Sus scrofa: one gene and its partner. The protein of the gene in region 1 purifies or fractionates together with the protein of each later gene. This does not show direct contact. Links are inferred from orthologs where the notes say so. Each region holds a gene or a part of one and is shown on either strand. Other genes may lie near its edges. The genes, in order: ATP1A1 and HADHB.

Region 1 (7,992 bases):
TGGAAGCATCACCTGGAGGACAGAAGGAAAACACAGGAGGCCTCGCCCTCCCCATGATGACAAGCTGGAAAGATCAGGTCCCACTGATCCCCAAACTTTAACACACTGATGATCAAGCCCTCAAACCATACAGGCCCCCCAAACAAAAGCCCGAGCCATCAGGGATCAATGCCTCAGATCACCAACAGCAAGTATCTAAGAGCTGTTACTCAACAGGGTTTGAATAAAACCAGATACAGAGATAAATTAATGTTCAGATATAATTCACTGTCGAGTCAGTCACAAAGGAACGAAGCAATAGGGTCTACTGGCCAAAATTCCCTTGGCTCAGGACCCAAAGGAAAGCAGACAGAAAAGCTGCAGGGTGGGTCTGGGGTGCTTCTGTTCTCACGGTAGAAATCTGCCGCCCCAAACGTCAGTCAAACAAATGTGAAGAACTCCTTGTGGATTCCTGACGACAGATTTAAGCACAACGAAGGAGGTGACTCATATGCAAAGAACAGTCTCTCTCTGACACCAGCCAAAGAACACACTTCCTCTCACACACACTCAATCCAGAGCAATGCGAGAAAGTTCAAATCTGCCTCGGTTCTGTCTCCTTTTCCCAAAATATAAAAACCGAAGGGGAGTTGGGGGGGGGGGAGAGTGGATTTTACAATTCTCCGTTCTTCACATTAGCACTTACTGGACATGCAATTTCAGCGGAACCCAGAACTGGACAGCTCTGGCACGGATGGGGAAACATTCTGCCCAGTGTTTTGCTGTCCCAAAGCAGCCACTCTGATTACTGTGAGCCCATCTGATCTGACACTCGTGTTTCTTCTTCTGGCCTGCTGGCTGGCAGAGCGCCCTGGGCAGCTAGAAGGCACCACAGCCCATCACCGAGGGCTGAAAGCCCAAGCACACCCTCCCCCCCTCCCGTTGTATTTCACAAGACTTTGACAAAGACTCTAAAAATGTCAAGTCTTTTATTTGAAAAGCGAAAGTAGATCAAAACCGAAGGCGCTATTCAATTGCACCTCTGACATGTCCAGTGACACTTCCAGGCAACTTCCCCTTGGAGGGTAATTCATAGCATTTCCCATTCTTTTCAATCCTCAGGATGTTTTCCAGGTGAAAGAAAGACTGTTTTCTAGTTTTGAAAAGGCTTACGTTCAGACGAACTGAGGAACAGCAAACCCACAGTTTAATAAAGATTTGCTCTTCTCTTGGTGCCAAATACTTTCTAAGGCCCAAAGAGCTGCCAGCCACTCACACCTGCCCTGCACTCGCTCTAAACAAAGCAAAGGTGACTCCACTCTGGTGATTAGTCTACCCAAGGGCCAGGTGAGAAACCGATGCTTCAGGGCTTAAAAAAGCAACCAAACCAAACCAAACCAAACCCTCAACATTTTTGTTTTAAAGAAACGCACTTAGCTTACTTTTCCATACAAAATCCTTCGAAAACTATATTCCCTAAAGCCTCTTTCATTCTTAAGTGTGGATATACAGTGTAAAAGAACACAGCCTGAAAGCACAGAGTCACTTACCTGTTAATCTGTTGCTAAAATAATCAGAAAACAATGCTTTAGAAGGGTTCTGGGATGGAGAATGGATGGGTACCAAGTTTATCGTACTTTGAAATGTTGCCTTCACTCTTTTAGTTTAAAATGCAATGGAGGAATTAACACTTCCAGGGGTCTGGATATTTCAAGTTTTAGCCCTTACCCGAATAAACATTTAACTGTGTGGTTTTGTTTTGTTTTTTTAAACCTGGCCTTTTATTTTTTTGGTGGGGAAGGGGTGGGGCTGTCAGATTTAGCCTCCTCTCCATCTCTCTGACTGGGGATGCGAGCCTCCCCTTCCCCACCCTCCTACCCAAAGGTGAGTCACCAGAGTGTTACAAACTTACTGGCAGAGAACACTACAAATTAACAAACAGAAAGTTACCCTAAAAGAATACACCCTCAGAACAGGGTACAGCAAAGGTGGGGTGGGGGGGCGGCAGCGAGAGGAACAAACATTCACATCTCAACATTTAACAGGCCGAGGGTGTGATGCAACCTCGACCTTCTTTCTCTATCCCCAGGGCTAGTCACCAGCTCCTCCCATAGCCGCTCCACTAGCTGGGGGCCCTGGCCTGGGCAACCTTCCACTGTGAGGACTCTGCCTTACAATGTTTTCAGTCTAAAGTACTGGCTTTATAGCAGCCAGAGGAGATTTAGCCACACTTTCAAGTTGAGCTCCAAAAGGGCAGCTGATAATGTTACCATACAACCAGGATTTCTGCTGACATGGGTATCCCTTGTGCAACCTTCACCCGAACCTTTTTCCCCCCAGGCTCCTCTTCAAATCTCTCCCCATAAGCTGTGATTTCTAGGTAACTAAGTTAATATTCACACAATGGAGAATCGCAGTGAAACCCCCACCCCTTTGTACACTTGAGCAAAAAGGCAAGTTTCTTGGGTACCTTTGGTGAGCTAACGGGTTGTGGGTGGTAGGCCTGGCTGCGGATTTAAGCCAAGGCACTGGCAAGACACCCCGCACGAAAAAAAGGACCCAATCCTCCTTCACCCAGGAATGATTCAGCAGGAGCTGTTCTTTCGTTTTCTTACCAAAAGCTTGGGCAGTGGCTTTGGAAGGAGATATAAAATCACCTGCAATCTCCTCAAAACCTAGGCCCCCAACAGCAGTGGGAAGAGGAGGGGAAGAAATTAACAATGACCTTAAAAATTAGCTGCCAGCACAGGCTTCCTGGTTAACCAATTATCAGCAGGGCTTTAGTCACCACTCCACCCACATTTTAATCCCCATGTGGAAAAATCCCAACATTTCAGCATAAAATATCCTGAACATTTGGACTATCACGGTAAGTCATTGGGGACAAAAAGGTTAACTTTATCCCAGGAGAATCACCACCACCACCACCACCACCACCACACACAAAGACACACACACACACAGCCACCCCCTAATGCTCAATCTGTGAGAGTTCCCCAAATACGAACCACCCAGCAGCTAAGCAGCACATCAGCCTGCGTTCACCAATTACAATTCAATTTTGTGTTTGCTAGCCACTAGCCATTTGATGAGGATCCGTAAGATGAAACTGCTTAAACCTCCACAACCCAGGCATGTTGCTCTCTTTCCCACTCCCGGGCCTGTGCGCCGTTATGAAAAGGAAATATAGGTCTATGGATATAATCCAGTTACTCAAACATCTGGTCCATTAATTCAGCATCACGAACACCCCAGTTTCATCTGAAAAATAACTTTAGAATTCTGCATGTATAAGGCAACGTTAAGGAGGGAATGAGTATTTAGGCCGGGGAGGAATCAGGGACTGGTGTGTCACTAACCAACCATTTGACCTTGAGCAAAGCACTTCACCTTCCTAGGCCTTGGTGACATATCTACCATTTCTCCAGCTCCCCCAAACCAGTAAGGTGGCTCAGAAAACATGATTTTTTTCTGGGTTTTTTTTTTTTTTTGAGGGGATAGAGATACAGAAATGAGCTTTAAGGAGCTCGTTTACTGGAATGCCCTAGGATTTGATGGAGTGGTTCAAGTACAGTCACGAACTCAGTTTCCACCGTGGGCAGTATAGAGGCTAGCACTCAGCTCTTGCCTTCAGCTACTTGACCTGAGCCAGCCCTCCACTTTGGTGCTTTTAAAAGATACAAGTTGTGCATTCCCACTCTTCCTTACTACCAGGTTCAAACCTTTCAATGACCTCCTTCAAAATCCACTTGGCATTTCCAGAGAATGCACCCTCCTTCTCTGCCCATCGCTCACTCCACACCCAGGAGCCTGCCCAACCTTCAAAGACCTACTACGGGCCGGGGACTGTGCAGGCTCTGGACACAATGGAGCAGATGCTCTCCCACTAGTATTCTCATGACCTGGTCATTTTATCTCATTTTTTCTTCTGTTATTTTGTATAAACTTTTCTCAACAGCACTCTTGGCCCCACTGGAGTCCAGGACCTAGTCTCCTGCTGTGGTTACGGGTTATCTCAGCCCCGAGTTATAGAAATGCAGGAACAAGCCGTTGTTCTGGTATCCCCAGAGCGCCCGCTCCTCCGGCCCGGGGGACCCCTCGTTGCTTCCGACCCCTCTTCCGCGGGTGGGCGCTCCCACCGCGTTGCCCCGCCTCCCGTTCTTTTTCGGGTTTATTGTACCCGGAGGCCCGGGTGGATCTGCTTGTGCTCCTTCCTGCCTCATCGCTCTAAAAAACTTACACATACCCTCCCCACCCTCAAGATGACCACACCAGTGGCTCCAGCTGCCTCCCGGGAGCATCCTGTGTTTAATGGAAAGGGGCCCATTAAAGCTCTCAAAAGTATACCTTAAAGGCCATCTTAGGGCGAAGACACACCCTTTCTGGCACCAGCCCGCCAGACCGGCTCCGCAGTAAGGGGAAGCCAGTTTTTTCCTTTGGGGAAGGGCGGCCACCTCTCCGGGCAACTGGCTAAGCCCTGGCGCCTCCAGGAGAAAAAGCCTGGGACCCTAAGGCCGCCCCCGCATCGGAAGACCCCCATCGCCCAGGCCGGAGCCGCGGCGGGAACTACAGCCCGGGAAGGGGCCGGGTAGAGCGCCCCAGGGGAAGGGGAGGAGCACGCCTTTCCTCGGGGCACGGAGGGCGGAGGGAAAAAGGAAGGCGAGAGACGGGAGGTGAGGGCGGGCGGAGGGAGGGAAGGGAGGAGGGAGGGAGCGGGTTGGGGATGCCGCCGGCAGCCCGCTCCTAGCCGGGGAGGCCCAGCGGCTGTCCTTCCTCTGCCTCCGGGGCCTGCGACTCCCGAGCGCCGCCTCCAGGAGCCCAGGGCCCGCGACGCGTTCGGGCTCGGGGGCCCGCAGTCCTTCTCCAGGCTCTGCGCACCGCCTGGGGCTGCCCCGCTCCGGGCCCTCGGCTCTCCCTTCCCCCGCCCGCCCCTCATTACAGCGCTCCCTCCATTTCCAAAGTGCGTCGTCTTTTAAGCCTCTCTGCTCTGCCAACCCATTCCGCGCCGCGCCGCTTCCTCCTCCTCCGCCTCCCGCTGGCTGCGGTCGCCCTCCTGACTTCCTCCTCTTCCTCCTCCTCCCCTCCAGGGCTCCCCGCACCCCTCCCCAGGCTCGCTGGACACTCACCCCCTTCCCCATAGTGGCGGTGGTCTGTGTCCCGCGCCGGGTCCTGTTGCTTGAGAATCAGAGAGAAAAGAGAGCGGCTCCCGGCCAAGCAAGAGCGGCCGGGGGAGCGGAGAGGAGGGAGCTAGGGCTGCTGCGGGGCGGGAAGGAGGGAAGACGGCCGGCGGCTCGGGCCGATGCCACTGCTGCTGCCGCCGCCGCCGCCGCCGCCGCCGGGGCTGCTACCGCTGCTGCTGCCACGTGTCCGCCTCCTCCCGCCGCTGCTCTGCGCCCCAGACCCCGCCGCAGCTCAAGCCCGCGCCTCCTCCTCACTTCCTAAAATATGCAACCTGCGTGCTGGCCCCGCCCACGCCGCGGCACGTCACCGTTACCGGAGCAACCTGACACCGGCCGCGGGCCTGACTCCGCCCCCGCTTCAAACCCCACCCCCGCAGGCCCGGGGCCGCGCCGGCTGCGGCCGGTCGGGGCTCCCGGCAGGAGGGCGCCGGGGCCTGGGGCGCGCGTGCCCAAGTCCCGAGAGGCGGCGGCTGCGCCACTGCGGGGCGCGGCGACTCGCTGGGCAGCGGGGACTCGGCGGCCCTGCAGCTCTCGCGTCCCTCCTCCTGCCTCCCTGCGTGACCCGCCTGCTTTGGAGGGCACGCAAGGTCCGCAGTGGGTGCGGGGACGTCCGCAGAACTGGGCCCCCGAATCTCCGTGGACCTGGGACAGAAACCACGCGCTGGAGCATCTGTGGGTATCCGGGAGCTCCTCTGGGACTAAGGGAAGCGCGGGGATGGGGGGGTGGGGGTTGGGTGTGCCTGCAGCCAGCGCCCGCAGGAGGGACTCCGCCTTCCTGCGGAGTCCAGGCCCCGCGTCCACCTGCGGATGGCCTTCCCAGCCAGTCCTTTGGTGCCCCTCTGAATGCCTTCTCTGGTCTTGGGGTCTCCGTTATCCACAACCCATAGGGCTTGAGCTGGCTTTGCCAGAGGTCCCAAGACCCCCCCCCCCGCCGCCGCCGCCGCCGCCGCCGCCTTCAAGACCCCCAAATGTCAATCCAAAGGGCCTGCAGTGAATTCATTCATGCCACTGTGTGAATGAAAGTTGTTTGTCCAGATTGGGGGTTCGCTTTTGAGAGAAGGAATACTTGAAGCCCAATATCTTTAGCAAAAGGGGATCCTTGGAGAGGGACTATTAGTGGGCCTGTCTCACGCCTCTCCTTGCCTGCCCTCTGACATAGCAGGACCTCTTTCTGCCTAGGAGTGGGTGCTGTGAGGGACCTGCGCCTGCAGTGTGGTGACGGGCCCAGGACCACCCGCCCAAGAGCCCTAGCCAGGCTCTGCTGAGCCGCTTTCCTCCCACTACAGCTTCTGCAGAGGCTGCAGTGGCTGGAGGTCTCCAACAGTTAAAAAACAAAGTATTATTAACAATGTTTTCAGGAAGTCAGGCATACTCTGGGAAAGCACAAGATTTGCAGGAGAAAATCACTCCATATCTCTGGGAATTCCAACAAGAAACACAGAAAACATTCACTTCCTAAGCAAGTTAAAACTAGTCCTGTCGACATCAAGTATTAATTTAACATGAATAAATAAAGGTGTGAAGCTTGAAAGAAATGGAGGAGGGAAGGAAGAATGAAAAACAAAGGAGGGAAAACTAGCAACTGTGCTATCAGTTAGACCATGAGGGTAAGTCTTGCTCCTTAGAAGAAACTGTTTCTTCCATGAGTCTCTTTCCCTTTGCCCAAGAATGCATTGTCAAGAACTGGTGCCTCCTCCATCTTCAGGCTTGGTTAAATCAGTGCAGACCCTGAAGAGCAAAGGCATTGTAAACGGAATTCAAATTCATGACTGCTGGAGAAAAGAGCCCCCACATCCAGAACAGGGTTCCCAATGCCGCTAATTCAACAGAAGGAATTTATGGAGCGTGATCAGGGCTCTGTCTCCAAGGGTCTAGAAAATGCTGTATTGGCATCCCCCATTACTGCTAACCTGTAGGAGGCTTTTCCTTGCTAAAGATCTCTGTTTGTTTGAAATTACTTATCCCTTGGTCTGAATGGAAAAAGCACACAGCAAGAACGACAACATGCAGAAAGTCTCAACAGTGTAGATTTCTCCTGCGAAAGGATCACCTTTTCCTCCCTTAATAAGAAAATTAGCTTTTTTTTTTTTTTTTTTTTTGGTTCAGCAGTATAACCCTGAGAGATCAAGACATGTCCCGTGGTCTCTACAGCTGTTTCTTTGGCAGCTGAAGATTGCCGAAGGTCCTTCCTGGAGGACCTCCGAGCTCTAGCTGCGTTCCAGAGTGGGGAAAAGGCATAAGATAAGAAATATTGGGACTCCCCATTGTGGCTTAGCATTAAGCGACCGAACTAGTATTCATGAGGGTGAAGGTTCGATCCCTGGCCTTGCTCATTGGGTTAAGGTCTGGCATTGCCATCAGCCATGGGGTAGGTTGCAATCGTGGCTAGGATCCAGGGTTGCCATTGCTGTGGTGTAGGCTGACAGCTACAGCTCTGATTCAGCCCTAGCCTGGGAACTTCCATATGCTGCAAGTGAGGCCCTAAAAAAAGAGAAGGTATCAGAAATATTAACTAAAATCTGTATTTTTGCCTTCTCCTCCACAAGCACTTTTGCATATAAAAGTCCCTGGGATTCTCACAAATCCAGAAGGTAAAAGGCTTTAGCTGTATTTTACGGAGTGCGGCAAACTGGAGGTTTGAGGATTTGTACTAATAAGGCCACTCGGCTAGTGATGGGAGAGCCTGGTCTCAAAATTGCAAGATGGGAAACACTTCCTACTTGTAAAGTTGGCTCTCTGAACCTAGCACCGAGGAAGTTTTGGTGGGAGAATTGCAGGTGCTTTCTTTTTTTTCTTCTTTTTACAGCCCCACCTGAGACATATGGAAGTGCCC
Region 2 (8,092 bases), on another chromosome or scaffold:
TCAGAAACTGTATGAGACAATAAATTTTTATTGTTTTAAGGTGCTACATTTTGGAGTAATTCATTACACAGCAATAACTAATATAAAAGCCTTGTTTAACCTCTCTTAGGTCTTCACAGACTAAAGAGAGATGCCCTGTGGTTTCCAAAAAGAAAAAAAAAACATCGCATTGGCCAAATATGTCCACTGGAAAAAGATGGAGAAGTCCAACCTCCAGGCTCATCAGATTAGAATATTCAAGGGACTCTAGCCAAGGAGTCACAAATTGGCCCATGAGATGGACACCACTTTTCCAGAAGCTACATTTGATGCCACTTGAGTCTGGAACATAAATCCCCATAAGTAAAGTTCACCTTGAAATGAAATTCATGAAAATAGTCAAGAAATCAGGGAAATGGCTAATCACTTGGGGAAAAATTAGATCCATACCTCACACTGTAAGTACAAATTACTGATGAATTAATCTAAATATATATATTTTTTTAACTTACTACAAGAGGAGTTCCCGTCATGGCTCAGTGGTTAATGAACCCAACTATTATCCATGAGGACATGGGTTCGATCTCTGGCCTTCCTCAGTGGGTTAAGGATCCAGCATTGCCGTGAGCTGTGGTGTAGGTCACAGACATGACTCAGATCCTGTGTTGCTGTGGCTGTGGTGTAGGCTGGCAGCTGTAGCTCCAATTCAACCCCTCGCCTAGGAATCTCCATACGCCACAGGTGCGGCCCTAAAAAGACAAAATAAAGGGAAAAAAAAAGATCTGATTAAGTAAACATTTAAAGTATCTTCACAGGAGTTCCAGTCATGGCTCAACAATTTAAGAACCTGAATAGTATTCATGAGGATGTGGGTTTGATCCCTGGCCTCCCTTATTGGGTTAAGGATATGGCATTGCCATGATCCGTGGTGTAGGTTGCAGATGCAGCTCAGATCCCACGTTGCTGTGGCTGTGGCGTAGGCTGGCAGCTGCAACTCTGATTCGACCTCTAGTCTGGGAACCTCCATATACCACACGTGGGGACTTAAAAAGAAAATAAATAAATAAATAATAAATAAATAAAGTATCTTCACAGCAAAACATAATAAAATAAAGTTAAAAGGCAAACAACGGATTCAGAAAAAATACTTAACAACACGAAAAACGAAGGGTTAATACCATAATCCATAAAGATTTTATACAAATTACAGGAAAAAGAGGAACAATCTGTAATGGAATCTGTGGTTTTTCAGCCCCATTATCCATTTCACCCCATTACGTAGCTGCCACATGTGGTCTACACGGGATTGAATCTAGCTCAACTCTGGGGTTTAAATCAATCAGAATAATCTCATTCTCCTTGCTAAGATTATTGGTTCAGGAAACCAAGGCCTCAAATACTCATATATGGTATTGCCTTGCCCACTAGTATCAATTCAGGGATAGTCTAGTCAGTACGACATTCAAGTCTTCTGCCTGGAATTCTGAAACACAAATCTTCTCTCCTTCTGAAACTTGGCATGGCTACAAGTTGCAAACATGATAAAAACTAGTTTTAAGGCAAGAGCTGGTCTCAAAGGAGGACAGAGCTGAGAATTCAGAAAAAGAATCCAGAGCCCTGATTGAATCATATCTGAAACCCACTCTCCCATTATGCATTTCTGTTCCATAAGAAAATAAATCCCCTTTATTAAACCAATTTCAGTTGCAGTTTCTGTTATTTGCGACTGAAAGGCTCCTTCCTGAAACAGGACCAAAAGGAAAAATGAGCAAATGAGCAATTCACAGAAGAAATAAAAATGTCCAATAAACAAAAATTTAAATGTTCAACCTCACTAACAAAAGATTTTTAATTAAAATAAAGCATCAGGAGTTCCCGTCGTAGTGCAGTGGTTAACGAATCCGACTTGGAACCATGAGGTTGCGGGTTCGGTCCCTGCCCTTGCTCAGTGGGTTAATGATCCGACGTTGCCGTGAGCTGTGGTGTAGGTTGCAGACGCGGCTCGGATCCCGCGTTGCTGTAGCTCTGGCATAGGCTGGCAGCTACAGCTCCGATTCGACCCCTAGCCTGGGAAACTCCACATGCCATGGGAGCGGCCCAAGAAATGGCAAAAAGACAAAAAAATAAATAAATAAATAAATAAAGTATCATTTGGGGGTTATCAGATTGGCAAGAATTAAAAATTGGTTAATATATAATTCTAGCAAGAGTAGATCTATTTAGGCCCTTCCACATAGAGGTGTAATTGCTAAGGCCTTTTCAGAAGGCAATTTTTAGTTATCTCTCAGATTTTGATTTGTGAATTTATTTCTTTTTTTATGGCCACACCTACGGCACATGGAAGTTCCTGGGCCAGGGATTGAACCCGAGCCTCTGCAGCAACCCAAGCCACTGCAGTCAGATTCCTAACGTACTGTGCTACAGTGAGAACTCCTGAACTGTAATTTTTGAGCCTAGTAATTCTTCTTATTGGTCTTTAAGCAATAGAAATATTCAAGGTGTATATACAGCAATCATAGATCTCTAGCCAATACAAATATTAAGGATGTAAACACACATAGTAGAAAACAGCAAACATTCCATCCATGTTCAGTAATTTGTAAAGAAAATTGAAACGTAATGATACATGTATATACGGAATGGAAAGATGTCCACAACATATATTAAATGAAAAAGCAAGCTGCAGAACAATACATATAGTAAAACTCCATTTTATGACAGAAAGAGAGATGAAAATCCATGAAGCTGAGATAAAGAGGGGCTTTCACTTTATATTCTTTTGGGGGAGGGTCACACTCCTGGCACATGGAAGTTTCTGGGCCAGGGATTGAACCCATGCTTCAGCAGTGACCCAAGCAGCTGCAGTGACAACACTGGATCCTCAACCCACTGTGCCACAAGAGAACTCTAGTATTTTATATTCTTCTGTCTTCTTAAATTTTTTACAATGAACATTTTCTTTTTAATGTATGGTATAAATCTAGCTTTAGGAAAATTTGCATGTAATATCTTACAGGTAAAAGTATACAAATGCCTAAAAAATGTCCAGAAAAATACACAGCAAATGTTAATAGCAGTTAGCTCTGGGTGGTGGAGTTATTGGTGTATTTATTTTCTTTAGATTTATCTGAAGTTTTTGAAAAAAATTAAATAGAATATATATTCCCTCAATAATTAATAAAAAGTAGAGCGAGGTTTCAAAAGAAAGAACTAAGCAAAATAGCCTGCGGGAGAGTTGACTTAGTTACTGCCATTTGCTTTAAGCTTTAGGAAATATATTTTGACTCAAGTATTTGGAGAGCATGCCAGGCTTGAGTAGGTTGTGAAACTATGGAAAGATCCATGAGGTAAACAAGTAATGAAAGCAAGATGGACTGGCTCTAACAGCTCATTAAGACACAATCTACCATGTCCTTAAGAGCACACACACTAAAGGCAGACCATCTAATCCAAATCCTGGCTCTACCCTAGTTGTTATGACCTTAAACAAGTAACTCAACTTGCAAAAAGGATTCTTGATGACCTCCAAAGGCCATTTTCTTTCTCGGTTTTAAGAGTAAAATGTAGATAATTCATCGGTAAGATACACCTATAAACTGTAGATAATTAAAGTGCCTACAACTCATAGGGTTGTCATGAAGAATAACTAAATCAATAAATACATAAAGCACTCGGTACAGTGCCTGATGCACAGTACGGGTTATACACGCGTTTGCTATTAACATTAGTGGGCGATGGTATAAACACACTGAGTTCCTCTTTCTGTAAACCACAGTGAGAAGGAGCTGTTTCTGCCCTTGATGGAGCTTAGGCTCTTGTTGAGAATACAGGGAACCAAAATTCAAGAGCCAAAAGAGTGATCTAAATCAGGCGCTGGCAAACTACAACCCCAGGGCCTCTAGCTAATAACCGTTTCTACAATTTTAAAGAGTTGGCGAGCAAAACAAATGAAAGAATATATGACAGAGATGGATGTGGATTGTAAAGCCTAAACTATTTACTCTCTGGCCCTTTACAGAAAAAAGTTTGCCACTGCTGATCTAAACAATAAATGCTACACTAAATTAGAGGCCGCAAGAGCATTATGAGGGAGGAGGCAGCTTTGAACTGTAAAAGCCTTATGAGTTGGAGGGCTTTGGGAGGTCATCAAGAATTCCTTTTACTAATTAAGAGATCACTGGTCATCCAGTTTCTGCTTAACATGATCACAGTGATGGAGGACTCACTATATGACTTGAGCTTTAAACAGAAACCTTTTCTTCTTTCTTTCCATACTCCTCATTTCAGTCTCAACTTCCTTGCCATTTCCCCCGGCCTCTTCTCTGCCTCTTGAACAGTCAATCTGGTGAGCGGTGAGACTCAAATTTATGTCTCATTCTTGGCTTTGCCAGCTACCAGAAAGTTGACATAATCTCTGAGCCCCTAAACTCCACTTACAAAATGCAAACTACAATTTTGGGATATGAAGATTCAATGAGATGGCAGCGAAAGGGCCTACGAGGTCCCCTTTTTTGGAATCAATCGCCGGATTCCAGGACTCCAGACTATTTTTCCAGCACAAAAACAGCAATCATGCACTGCAGAGTTCTTGACTAGAAGTTAGTAAATGTAGGCTCTAGTCCTATTTCTACCAACTGTAGCCACTCTGATTCATGGGCTTCACCGATAGAGTGAAGGGGATAAATGACTAGATGATCTTCAGGTCCCTTCTGGATGAGAAAATAATCTTGAGCACTGGATCTCAGAGCAGGGCACGGCAATGTCTCAGCTCCTCCCAACTTGAGTCCCCAAAAGCCATGAGACAGAGTCCCACTCCCAGCAGCATAAAAGAGGTATCCTCTGGCTCCAGCCGAATCTCTGTAGTCGACCTGACTACAGGCAAAGCGCATGAAACAACAGTGGAACACGGGCCAGCGTTTTAAACTAACACGCACACAAATCAACAGTTTGTTAACTTGTGATGACAAATTAAACGAGCCAGGGGACACCGCTGCTCAGAGCTACGACAACGCGAAGCCAAATTACTGACGAAACTGCACCGGTACGGGAGACTCCACTGAGACGCTTCCTTCCGTCCCCTCGAACTCCACTCCCCCATGGAGGAGGCGGCCGCGGGCCCTGGGGTAGAAGGTGGGAAAGGAAGCGCGGACGGAGCCGGGGGGCAAGGCCAGGCGGAGAGCCGAGCGCACGCTCCTTCTCACCTTAGTTCGCGTCGCTCAGGCACCTGCTTCGGGAAAGCTTCGGACTCAAGTGACAGGACCCGTCGGGGACCAAAAGACAGGTCCTGCCTAGGAAGGACCCCTCACCCGGCCCGCTGGCTCCGCGAGCCACGCCGGCCTCCCGGGCTGCCCTCCGGCTGCCTGACTGAAAAAAATGTAACTCTGCCCCCTCCTCCCAGGGTCTTCTTCCTTCCGGCGGAGAAAGTGTCCTTTTCGTCCCGTTAGCCGGAAGCCAAGGGCAAGGTTAAGGGGCCAGCGGCAATTCGTCACCGGGGTTTCAGTCAGGCAGTACGTCGGACGCCTGGCCAGGGGCAGCCGGCGGGAAGAAAAGTCCTCTGGCTGCCACCAGCTCCAGCAACTTTCCAGTTTCGTCCTCTCCTGCTCAAGATGGTCGCCTCCCGGGCAATAGGCAGCCTCCGTCGCTTCACTGCCTCCCAGACGCTCCGCTGCCCAGGTGAGGCCTGCTTGAGGGCAACCTACGGTCCTGGCCAGAGACCTGGACTTTATCGCCGCAGCGCTGCCTGCATCTCCTGGCTCAGGAAGCCAGCGTTGGATGAGGGAGAGGGTTGCTGCTGTGGGACCCAGTGTCTTGTTGTTTACTGGCGCAGGGACTGATATTTTCTCTCAAGTCCTGCGGCGATTTCAGACTCCGTAACCGCTGACGTTTCTGAGTTCCATCCACTGGGTCTGGCATCTTCCGCAGGTCTCCCCGTATTTCCCTTCATGATGGCCTTGAACCTGTCCCTACTAGATGGAGAGGTCCAGGACGACTAGGACAGCCTAGTCTGTCACATCTTTGTGGCTCCACAGCACCTTGCCTGTAAAAGGAGGTATCTTAAAACCTTCTTGTATGAAATTAACCAGCCTTTCAAATTACTGCCACTTCCACACCCTTTCCCTCAAAACCTTTTTTTGTACCTATTACCACACTTTAATAGGAAACTCACCTGTTGCAGTTCCATAATCCCAGTAGGAACCCAGTATAATGCGTTGACTTTCTCAGGGGAGGTCCTGCAACTTGCAAGGAGAAAACTTTTTTTTTTTTTTAAACATGAAGATACTTAAGGAACAAAATGTTAGATAATTTTAACAACTATTTCTACCCTAGTTTCTAACAATACCCAGGTAGCTTTCATTAGCTATATTGTCTTTTTCTCTTCAAACTGGCAAGAGAAAGAATTAAAGTGGATGATTGTGGAAAATCAAGCATTTTCCTTCCACCTCAAATCTTTAAGGTGAAATGTGATTTTTTTTATTGCATGTTGTATTTAACTCTGCTTACTTAACTAGTAATTTCATTTATAATATGCCTTCCTCCTTCTGAACCACTAGGGTAGTACTGTATGCTGTTTTAGTGCCTGGAATCTCCCTTTACTGTAAGGGATTGATTAAATGATTGACTCTTTTCTGCTTTCTTATTTCAACCACTGTTTTTAGGCTCCACAGGACTCTGTGTGTGTGTGTGTGTGTGTGTGTGACTCCCACTCATAATATTACAAGAAGGTGAAATGTTAAGAGTGGGGAAAGGGATTAAGGAAAAAGAATCACCCATTCTCTTACTACTCACATACCTACTGTTAGCATTTGGTCATGTTACCTGACAGTTTGATTTGTCTGTTTTCCACATTTTTGATTTAACATTTTAAAAATATCAAATATATATTTTTGAACTTTCCCATCCATTGCTCTTAAGGTAATTCAGTTAAAAGCATTAAATTTGGAGTTTGACTTGTGGGTTTGAATCTGGCTTTGTCTTTTACCCTCTCTGGTGACCTTACCCCTGATGACCTTGGACAATTAATGTATATTTCTGTTTTCTCCTTTGTGAAATGAGGAATAATACCACCTTTTGAGCTTTAAAAGAATTGTTTTAAGTGTAAAACAGCTTTTCTATGAAGTAAGTGCTATTATTAATGTTAATAAGCATTAGCTATTATTAACACTTTTTTGCCCTGAAGAACTGTGATTTATGTATATCTGATAATTTTTAAAGTAATGTTTGTTTTACATGTGTAGTAAAAAGTTACAAGCTTGGTTCTTCTATATTTTTTTTGTGTAGAAGTATATATACATACACATGTGTATATATTTTGCATTGGTCTTTCCCCAATAAAGAAAATATGGCTTATTATAGTTATTGCCTCTTTTAGTAGCAATTTATAGATTTTTGAAAAAAGTCCAGGGAGTTCCAGTTGTGACTCAGTGGACACTAGTATCCATGAGGATTCGGTTTCAATCCCTGGCCTCGTTCAGTGGGTTAAGGATCCAGAAATTCCCAGGCTAGGGGCTGAATCAGAGCTGTAGCTGCCCGCCTGCACCACAGCCACAGAAATGCCATATCTGAGCCGTGTCTGCAAACTACACCACAGCTCACAGCAACGCTTGATCCGTAACCCACTGAGCGAGGCCAGGGATCAAACCTGTGTCCTCAAGAATGCTACCACTGGGAGTTCCCGTCGTGGCGAAGTGGTTAACGAATCCGACTAGGAAACATGAGGTTGCAGGTTCGGTCCCTGCCCTTGCTCAGTGGGTTAACGATCCGGCGTTGCTGTGAGCTGTGGTGTAGGTTGCAGACGCGGCTCGGATCCTGCGTTGCTGTGGCTCTGGCGTAGGCCGGTGGCTACAGCTCCGATTAGACCCCTAGCCTGGGAACCTCCACATGCCACGGAAGCGGCCCAAAGAAATAGCAAAAAGACCAAAAAAAAAAAAAAAAAAAAAAAAAAAAAAAAAAAAAAAAAAAAAAGAATGGCCTCGATCAGTTAGTGGTGTCGCTGTGAGCTGTGGTGTAGGTTGAAGACTCAGCTTGGATCTGGTCTTGCTCTGGTGTAGGCCAGTAGCTATAGCTCTGATTTGACCCCTGGCCTGGGAACTTCCATATGCCAAGGGGTGGGGCC

The links.
Region 2: the proteins of ATP1A1 (region 1) and HADHB fractionate together in Homo sapiens (co-fractionation; 3 studies listed by BioGRID, with this or other methods). This does not show direct contact. The link is inferred for Sus scrofa from reciprocal best matches to the Homo sapiens genes ATP1A1 and HADHB.

What each region holds. Positions count from the first base shown.
Region 1 is NC_010446.5:104,379,172-104,387,163, forward strand, and holds the start of ATP1A1 (sodium/potassium-transporting ATPase subunit alpha-1), read right to left. Parts: upstream 4,346-7,992; 5' UTR 4,339-4,345; coding exon 4,327-4,338; intron 1-4,326. Other genes in the region: proline-rich protein 18-like, read left to right, coding at 5,279-5,831. UniProt on the Homo sapiens protein: This is the catalytic component of the active enzyme, which catalyzes the hydrolysis of ATP coupled with the exchange of sodium and potassium ions across the plasma membrane.
Region 2 is NC_010445.4:112,747,813-112,755,904, forward strand, and holds the start of HADHB (trifunctional enzyme subunit beta, mitochondrial), read right to left. Parts: upstream 5,310-8,092; 5' UTR 5,181-5,309; intron 1-5,180. Other genes in the region: HADHA (trifunctional enzyme subunit alpha, mitochondrial), read left to right, coding at 5,586-5,652. UniProt on the Homo sapiens protein: Mitochondrial trifunctional enzyme catalyzes the last three of the four reactions of the mitochondrial beta-oxidation pathway.